Xenopus tropicalis: one gene and its partner. The protein of the gene in region 1 binds, or shares a complex with, the protein of each later gene. Links are inferred from orthologs where the notes say so. Each region holds a gene or a part of one and is shown in the gene's direction. Other genes may lie near its edges. The genes, in order: bicd2 and bicdl1.

The links.
Region 2: bicd2 (region 1) and bicdl1 share a complex: the UniProt entries of both Homo sapiens proteins name them as parts of the tripartite complex. The link is inferred for Xenopus tropicalis from reciprocal best matches to the Homo sapiens genes BICD2 and BICDL1.

What each region holds. Positions count from the first base shown.
Region 1 is NC_030680.2:150,841,856-150,846,359, forward strand, and holds the start of bicd2 (protein bicaudal D homolog 2), read left to right. Parts: upstream 1-1,591; 5' UTR 1,592-1,808; coding exon 1,809-2,051; intron 2,052-4,504. UniProt on the Homo sapiens protein: Acts as an adapter protein linking the dynein motor complex to various cargos and converts dynein from a non-processive to a highly processive motor in the presence of dynactin.
Region 2 is NC_030677.2:151,456,899-151,461,445, forward strand, and holds the start of bicdl1 (BICD family-like cargo adapter 1), read left to right. Parts: upstream 1-1,591; 5' UTR 1,592-1,815; coding exon 1,816-2,133; intron 2,134-4,547. UniProt on the Homo sapiens protein: Acts as an adapter protein linking the dynein motor complex to various cargos and converts dynein from a non-processive to a highly processive motor in the presence of dynactin.

The sequences.
Region 1 (4,504 bases):
GGGGGGATTCGGGGTGAGTGCTTATTTCCATAAAAGATTAGTAACTGTAACTGATACTGACACAGTTTAGGAATAACTGTTACTGTTACTTTAAGTAATAACTACAACTAAATAAAAACAGACCAACTGCAAATTGTCTCAGAATATCACTCTCTACATCATACTAAAAGTTAACTCAAAGGTGACCAACCCTTTAACCCCTGGCTGACCAGACTAGAATACAACAACTCTATGAATGATATTAACCTCACACAAACCAATGTCTAAAGGGGTAGTTCTTTATGTCACCCTCACTAACTTGTACCCAGCAGCACCCAGGCACCTTGGGGTTTAGCAGCGCTAGAGTGCAAGCTCTTGAGCACAGATATCTGTTACACTTGTTGCAAGGGGCTTCAGGATTTGTGCAACTGCAGAAACTTTTTCCCGACCCCTAACCCCCAAATTTTCCTAATGAAGATATTCCAGCCCCCACCCCAACATAAACAGGTCACTGAGGCCCAGCAGGGGGCGCCTCCCAGAGCCATTACTGTATCAGACTGGAATAAGGATTGTGGCACCAAATCAGTCCGTACTTGGCTGCCCGAATCTTCTGGGCTCCATTTTCCCTGCTAGGCCGGGCTGCCAGATTTATTTTCCCAAACCAGCCAAAGTCAGTGCTAAAATCAGCCCAAAACCAGCCAAAAGCCACTTTGAAAGTAGCCCAAATATAGCCCAATATGTGCAATGAAAAAGAATTCTAGAAAATAAAAGTATATATGGGAAAAGCTGCCTTTATAAAGCGTATAATCACTGCCCAGTTACTGGCATGGCTGTTTCCCTGCTCTCTGGGCCCAGTTACTGGGATGGCTGTTTCCCTGCTCTCTGGGCCCAGTTACTGGGATGGCTGTTTCCCTGCTCTCTGGGCCCAGTTACTGGGATGGCTGTTTCCCTGCTCTCTGGGCCCAGTTACTGGGATGGCTGTTTCCCTGCTCTCTGGGCCCAGTTACTGGGATGGCTGTTTCCCTGCTCTCTGGGCCCAGTTACTGGGATGGCTGTTTCCCTGCTCTCTGGGCCCAGTTACTGGCATGGCTGTTTCCCTGCTCTCTGGGCCCAGTTACTGGGATGGCTGTTTCCCTGCTCTCTGGGCCCAGTTACTGGGATGGCTGTTTCCCTGCTCTCTGGGCCCAGTCCCTGCAGGTTATTGTAGTTTTGATGCCTCAGATTCAGCAGAGGAATAGAAAAGGGAGCTGCTGTCTATAATTGCATGCTGGGTATTGTAGTTTTATAGTCAGCCTAGCTGTAGGCCAATAGTAAAGATACAAACTACATTACCCAGCATGCACTGGGACAGACATGTCAGAGGGAAAACACTTTAGCTAGTTTCCAAACTACAAACCCGCCAAGGCGCCAAAAACGAACCCAAATTTGTACCTTGGCGGGTTTGTACTTTGGAAACCCTTCTGGGCTTTAAATTAGTAGTAATTTGGCGGAAAACCCGCCAACCCGGCAAACCCTGCTGCTAGGTCTCCCCTACCCCGACACTTTAATCACCCCACCCTTCCCCACTTCCCAGATGTTTTGCCCTTATCTTGGCCCCGCCTCCCTACTTTCCAGCGCTACTGAGCAAGCGCACTGCCCATCTCCAGCTTAGGGACCGTGTGCAAAGCGCTGTGCCCGTAAGAAGGCTGCGCCCAGTGCTTGTCAGATTGCTCCCTCCCTATCCGCCCCCGCTATTGCCAGACGTTCCCTGCGCACAGCCTGCAGTGGGGAATGCGGAGTCCGGGCTGGAGAGGGGGGATCGGTGCCAGGCTGAGCTGTGCCCGGGCACCATGGCACTGAACGCGGCGGAGGAGGAGGAGTACGAGCGGCTGGTGCTCGACTCCGGTCCCGAATGGCTACGAGCGGAGGTGCGGCGGCTGGTACGGGAGCTGGCGGAGACCTCTCGGGAGAAGATCCAGGCGGCCGAGTACGGGCTGGCGGTGCTGGAGGAGAAGCAGCAGCTGAAGCAGCAATACGAGGAGCTGGAGGGGGAGTGTGAGACCGCCCGGCAGGAACTGGAGCAGCTCAAGGAGGTACCGCCTGGGGCAATAACCGGCTTGGGGGGTATCCTGCTGGGGTAATAACCACTGGCAGGGGCACAATGTACCCCCCCCCAGGGAGAAGGGTATCCTGGGGCAGTTACTGGGAAAGGGAGAAGGGTATCCTGGGGCAGTTACTGGGAAAGAGAGAAGGGTATCCTGGGGCAGTTACTGGGAAAGGGAGAAGGGTATCCTGGGGCAGTTACTGGGAAAGGGAGAAGGGTATCCTGGGGCAGTTACTGGGAAAGGGAGAAGGGTATCCTGGGGCAGTTACTGGGAAAGAGAGAAGGGTATCCTGGGGCAGTTACTGGGAAAGGGAGAAGGGTATCCTGGGGCAGTTACTGGGAAAGGGAGAAGGGTATCCTGGGGCAGTTACTGGGAAAGGGAGAAGGGTATCCTGGGGCAGTTATTGGGAAAGGGAGAAGGGTATCCTGGGGCAGTTACTGGGAAAGGGAGAAGGGTATCCTGGGGCAGTTACTGGGAAAGGGAGAAGGGTATCCTGGGGCAGTTACTGGGAAAGGGAGAAGGGTATCCTGGGGCAGTTATTGGGAAAGGGAGAAGGGTATCCTGGGGCAGTTACTGGGAAAGGGAGAAGGGTATCCTGGGGCAGTTACTGGGAAAGGGAGAAGGGTATCCTGGGGCAGTTATTGGGAAAGGGAGAAGGGTATCCTGGGGCAGTTACTGGGAAAGGGAGAAGGGTATCCTGGGGCAGTTACTGGGAAAGGGAGAAGGGTATCCTGGGGCAGTTACTGGGAAAGGGAGAAGGGTATCCTGGGGCAGTTATTGGGAAAGGGAGAAGGGTATCCTGGGGCAGTTACTGGGAAAGGGAGAAGGGTATCCTGGGGCAGTTACTGGGAAAGGGAGAAGGGTATCCTGGGGCAGTTATTGGGAAAGGGAGAAGGGTATCCTGGGGCAGTTATTGGGAAAGGGAGAAGGGTATCCTGGGGCAGTTACTGGGAAAGGGAGAAGGGTATCCTGGGGCAGTTACTGGGAAAGGGAGAAGGGTATCCTGGGGCAGTTATTGGGAAAGGGAGAAGGGTATCCTGGGGCAGTTACTGGGAAAGGGAGAAGGGTATCCTGGGGCAGTTATTGGGAAAGGGAGAAGGGTATCCTGGGGCAGTTATTGGGAAAGGGAGAAGGGTATCCTGGGGCAGTTATTGGGAAAGGGAGAAGGGTATCCTGGGGCAGTTATTGGGAAAGGGAGAAGGGTATCCTGGGGCAGTTATTGGGAAAGGGAGAAGGGTATCCTGGGGCAGTTACTGGGAAAGGGAGAAGGGTATCCTGGGGCAGTTATTGGGAAAGGGAGAAGGGTATCCTGGGGCAGTTATTGGGAAAGGGAGAAGGGTATCCTGGGGCAGTTACTGGGAAAGGGAGAAGGGTATCCTGGGGCAGTTATTGGGAAAGGGAGAAGGGTATCCTGGGGCAGTTATTGGGAAAGGGAAATGCACCGCTGGGGCAGTTATTGGGAAAGGGAGATGGACCGCTGGGGCAGTTATTGGGAAAGGGAGATGGACCGCTGGGGCAGTTATTGGGAAAGGGAGATGGACCGCTGGGGCAGTTATTGGGAAAGGGAGATGGACCGCTGGGGCAGTTATTGGGAAAGGGAAATGCACCGCTGGGGCAGTTATTGGGAAAGGGAGATGGACCGCTGGGGCAGTTATTGGGAAAGGGAAATGCACCGCTGGGGCAGTTATTGGGAAAGGGAGATGGACCGCTGGGGCAGTTATTGGGAAAGGGAGATGGACCGCTGGGGCAGTTATTGGGAAAGGGAGATGGACCGCTGGGGCAGTTATTGGGAAAGGGAGATGGACCGCTGGGGCAGTTATTGGGAAAGGGAGATGGACCGCTGGGGCAGTTATTGGGAAAGGGAGATGGACCGCTGGGGCAGTTATTGGGAAAGGGAGATGGACCGCTGGGGCAGTTATTGGGAAAGGGAGATGGACCGCTGGGGCAGTTATTGGGAAAGGGAGATGGACCGCTGGGGCAGTTATTGGGAAAGGGAGATGCACCGCTGGGGCCGTTATTGGGAAAGGGAGATGCACCGCTGGGGGGGGGGGTAATTTGGATGCCCAGTGGCTTCAGGTGACAGGTCCCTGTCTGCCTCTCCAGTTACTGCTAAACGGGGTACATTGTGTCAGCTATTGCCAGTCAGGGGGGGCTGTGCCAGCTGTGGGGGCTAATTATGGCTAACTGGGGGTTCAGACTGTTGGGGGTACCAAATCCTGCCAAACGGTAGGTGCCAATATTGTGCCCAGGCTCTGCCAGTTACTCTGCAAGGATTGTTCTCAGATACTGCCCCTGCCTGTGGCCCAAACACTGCCCCCTGCCTGTGGCCCAAACACTGCCCCCTGGTATTGTGGGCATAACCCTCCTGTCAACTCAGCGGGCACGGAGCTTCTAAAGAATGGATTATCTCTGCCGCTTCTGGTACCAACAGGCCGGCCCAT
Region 2 (4,547 bases), on another chromosome or scaffold:
ATACTCATAGGACTTTTAGTGCCACAGTAACAACTGGAGCTTTCTTTATCTTACTGATGCAATTGTACTTGTTACTTTTGTTGCCATAGATAGTTGTGTTGTGCATACATTGTATAAACTACAAACTCAGCCTGGTTTTTGGGTCCAGGCAAATACTAAATTATACGTGTGTGTGTAGACGCACACACACACTTCGATTGTGCAGAAAACGTGCAGATCTTTCAGCAGCAGTTCCCAAACTGTAGAGCTTCCATAGATGCAGCCGGAATCTCATTTAAATTTGGTGGAAAATAATATTTGCTTTTCTAGATACTCTTGAAAGCCTTATGTTAAGGTCAGTATCTTCCCAAGATATTCTTGGAACAGAATCTCTCCTACAGCAATGTCTGTAACCTTGTTCGATCTCAGAGGTAACCCATGCCAAACTGGCTTTGAAGGGAAAATTGTAAAATTATTTTCCCCAATAATTTCTTTATTCGAAGAGAAATTTAATTGGATGATGTTAAAATTATTATTATTTTTGTAGTCATCTAACTAGACTGTAGTTCATCTTACACAAAAAATACTATTATCTACTTCCTAAAAAGTACATTTATTTCTAGAGGACGCCTTACCGTATGGGTCTGCAGGTGCTAAAATTATGACTGGAATATCTGAGAAATCCTAAATGATTCTAGTGAATTCTCTGATGTGTGCGTTTTAGTTGAACATCTTTTTCTGACTTGTCCAACACGTAGTTCTATTTCCTCCCAAGCAGCAGTCTCCCCATAAGTTAACCTTAGGGGTTTGAGCTCCAGCCTGGAACGGAGGGTGGGATAAGGAGCTCCTACTCTCATCGTGCAAGATATTTCATCCAATCCCGGCGCCCAACAAGACCGGTGCTTGTGACGTCACGCAGTGTGCGCACGCATTCCTAGGGTCCTTGCAGAGATGGGTGAGGGGGAGCTGAGCGCTGAGGGGCGAGGAGAGAGCAGCGCAGCCCGGGGCCTTCGGGGCCGGACCCACTCATATTAAGCTCACTAGTACGGGGAGCGGGGGGAGGGGGTTGGGGTCTGTGAGGCTTTGCGGGGGGTTGATAGAAGACATATCCAATCAGTCACTGTAGCCGGTAGCGCGGGGGTGCTTGCCTTTGCGTAGTTGGTTTAGCGGCAGTGCGGCTGTTTGCATGTGTTTGTACATAGTACATTGATGCCGTGGGGCAGTGTTACAATCTGTACGTGTAGGCTGGGGCAGTTGTCGCGGGTTGGCTAGGGGCCGTGACAGTTTTAGGGACCCAGTCATCACTTCGGGAGGGGTGAGTATCCGACACATGGGGGGATCTGTGGGCAGATTTCCAGACTGGCTTGCGTTACACCCAGCCTGGCGTTCTTCTGTGCCACTGAGGGTGTTTGGGCAGGTAACGCTTGTGGTGGATGTCAGACAGCTGCTAATCCCCCACTTAAGCACTGAGCCAGTGTAAGGCCCTTTAGCCGGCTCACCGGGATTGTACGAGTCCTGAGCCAGCTGCTGTGTTTCATGACATATAAGTCGTACCTTGGTTAGAGGGATTTTGCTTCCACAGTGTAGGGAGGGGGGGCTGGATTTGGTGACAGGTTGTGCTTAGCGGGGTTGCAGTTGTACGGGCTTGGCAGCAGCAGCACATGGTAGAATTGGCTGGGGCGGTAAAGCCATGCTATAAACAGTGCTGTTTAGCGGAGGTGTTTCGGCTGGCTGCGTAGGCTTTCACGCTGGGTGCCGGGGCCCTGGGCTTGGTGTGTGAAGGTAGCACAGTCCGAAGCTCCCCGCTTCAGCACCATTGGCTCCGGACAGCGCCCCATGGAGCTTCCTATCAGCTTCCTGTCAGACAGCAGCCGCCCTGCAGCCTCCTCGGAGCGGGGAGATCAGGCAGCTTTGGGGCGGGGGGAGCTAGAGTTTGATGAGGAGCTGGTGTTTCTGGCAGCTGAAGGAGAGGGGGACCCTGAAGAAATTGAGGGCCCGGAGGTGAGGGAACAGTCGGAACTTCTGTGCATCATAAGGCAGAAGGAGAAGGATCTGGTGCTGGCAGCCAGGCTGGGAAAGGCGCTGCTAGAGAGAAATCAGGACATGAGCAGGCGCTATGAGGAGATGCAGAGAGAGATGACCGACAAGCTGGAGGTAAGGACATTAAAACATAGCACAGCAGTTTACATATAAGCTATAACTTACCACTGATAAGATCCCAAAGATCCCATGTAAAGGGCTTTAGACATACAGCCAGATTCAGTTCAATGAGAAAAAGTTATCTCGTGATTTATTACATGAAAACTTTCCTCCTATTTCAAATCCAGTTTTTTTTTTCTATTGACTTCAATAGAGTTATCACATGATAAACCATGAGATAAGTGTTTCTGAATTGAAGGGTAGCAGATATCGTCTGTAAGATGCTAGGCACGTAGTTTCCCATGGATCTCCAGTGTCTGAAAAGGTGAGCATATTATAGGGCATATTTATCAAAATGTGAGTTGAGAGCTTAAATTATACAGGGATCGTCAACCTTTTTTTACCCATGGGCTACATTCAAATGTAAAAAGAGTTGGGGAGCAACACAAGCATGAAAAAGGTGCCTGATGGGGCCAAATAAGGGCTATGATTGGCTATTTGGAAGAGCCTATGTGGACTGGCAGCCTAAAGAAGGCTCTGTTTGGCTTTACACTGGGTTTTATGCCACCAAAACTTGCCTCCAAGCCAAGTAATCGAAAAATAAACACCTGCTTTGAGGCCAACATCCAAGGGGTTGGTGAGCAACATGTTGCTCACAAGCTACTGGTTGGGGATCACTGGCTTAATATGTAAAAAATTCACCCACATTCTATTCTTTCCTTTGCGTTTTTAAGTGTACTTATCGAATAGCGAGTTTAAACTTTCACCCATTGATAAATACACTTCTAAAAAGCCAATAAGACTGGCTTTGGCCAGAAGTACAACATAACGCAGGAAAATTGCTGGCTGAGCTTTCACAGAAATTTACAAGGAGTTGGTCCTGGTAAAAAATATGCTTTGAGTGAGATCTAAACCACAATATCTTTTTAAGCAGTCACAGCACTGTGCAGTCTCAAAAATGTAAGAATATTACTGAGGCAATCAGAGCCTTTATCAGGAGATACTTTCCTAATATAATTTTATAACAGTTGCTCTTCCATTCTTCTCTTATGGGTAATATTCACCTGGCTGCCTCCTCAATATAGGCCTAGATAATTTCCAAAATGAAAAGGGGGTGCTGGGGGTGAGTAGGAGAGGAAAGACCTACTGAATTGTCATAGACATTCAAAATATGTGATGACAAAGGGAATTAGTGTTTGCAATAAACTACATTTAATTTAAGTAATCAAGGTAACATAAATAAGTTAGCTTCCAATGAATTTATCAATTGCTTCCAATTAAAATTGACATTTAAATGCTGAATTATGAGTGGAAAAGCAGAAGGTAGCCAAAAGGGAAGATGTCTGGTCACCAGAAGCTGCAGCAAGTTGAAATACTTTTCTTACCAGCTGCTAATTAAACTGAATCTTAATGCACTAACATACAGGTCTACATCTGGTGTATTATTAAGCACTGTGTTTTTTTTATTAGCACAAAAACACAACACTAAAACACATCATATTTAACTATTTGACTGAATGCATCTATTGTAGCCTAGGCTTTGCCTGTAGCCCTCTCCCACTCTCATTGTATAGTTAATAAATGTCCTTCAGATGGCATAATGTTTGCAAAACATAGTAGCCTTCCTGTTGTGTGATTGCTTTGTTACAAGTGTAACAACTCATGGCCAGGAAAGCGCATTTTACAGCTCTTTTAGCCTATATAGAACTTTAACGTTTTGTTATAGCAAACTTTGTTAAATTGTTTGTTGCCCTGTTGATAATTATGTCCCATAGTGTACTATGTACTCTAAGCAGTATATGTTAGGGCTGTAGACACCTGCTGTCCAACATCTTGTTCTAAAACTAAGGGTATTAATATGGATTTGGTCATTCTTTTGCTGCTCTAAGAGTCTTCACTCTTCTGCAAAGGCTTTACAATAGCTGTTTGGAATATTATTAGGATTTTCCTCCATTTAGTCAATACAGCATTAGTACAGTTGGTTACTGATGTTGAGTAATCTATCGTAGCTCACAGTCAATATTCCAATTCATGTCACACTTGTTTGGTTGGGTTTCTGTCGGGGTTCTGTGTAGGCCACTCTGCAAACCAGTTATGTACAGAGCTCACATTGTGCATGTAGGTATTATTCTCCTGAAACAGAAAGGGCCCTACCCACATTTGCCACAAGGTAGGAAGCACATAATTGCCATAAATATAATGGTATGCTATAGAATTTAATGTCTGCTTACACTGTAAGAGAGGCCCTAGGCCAAACATGAAAAGGAATCCTATCCCCCATCCTCTTCTACAAGCAATTGTAACTGGCATAACACATTCAGGCAAGAAGAGCTTTCCTCAGAGTAGCTGTAATAAATTGTGTAACGCGCCTGTCTACCAATACTGCCAACCAGCTAAAACCTTTTTACAGAAAGCCCTGCCCTTTCTTA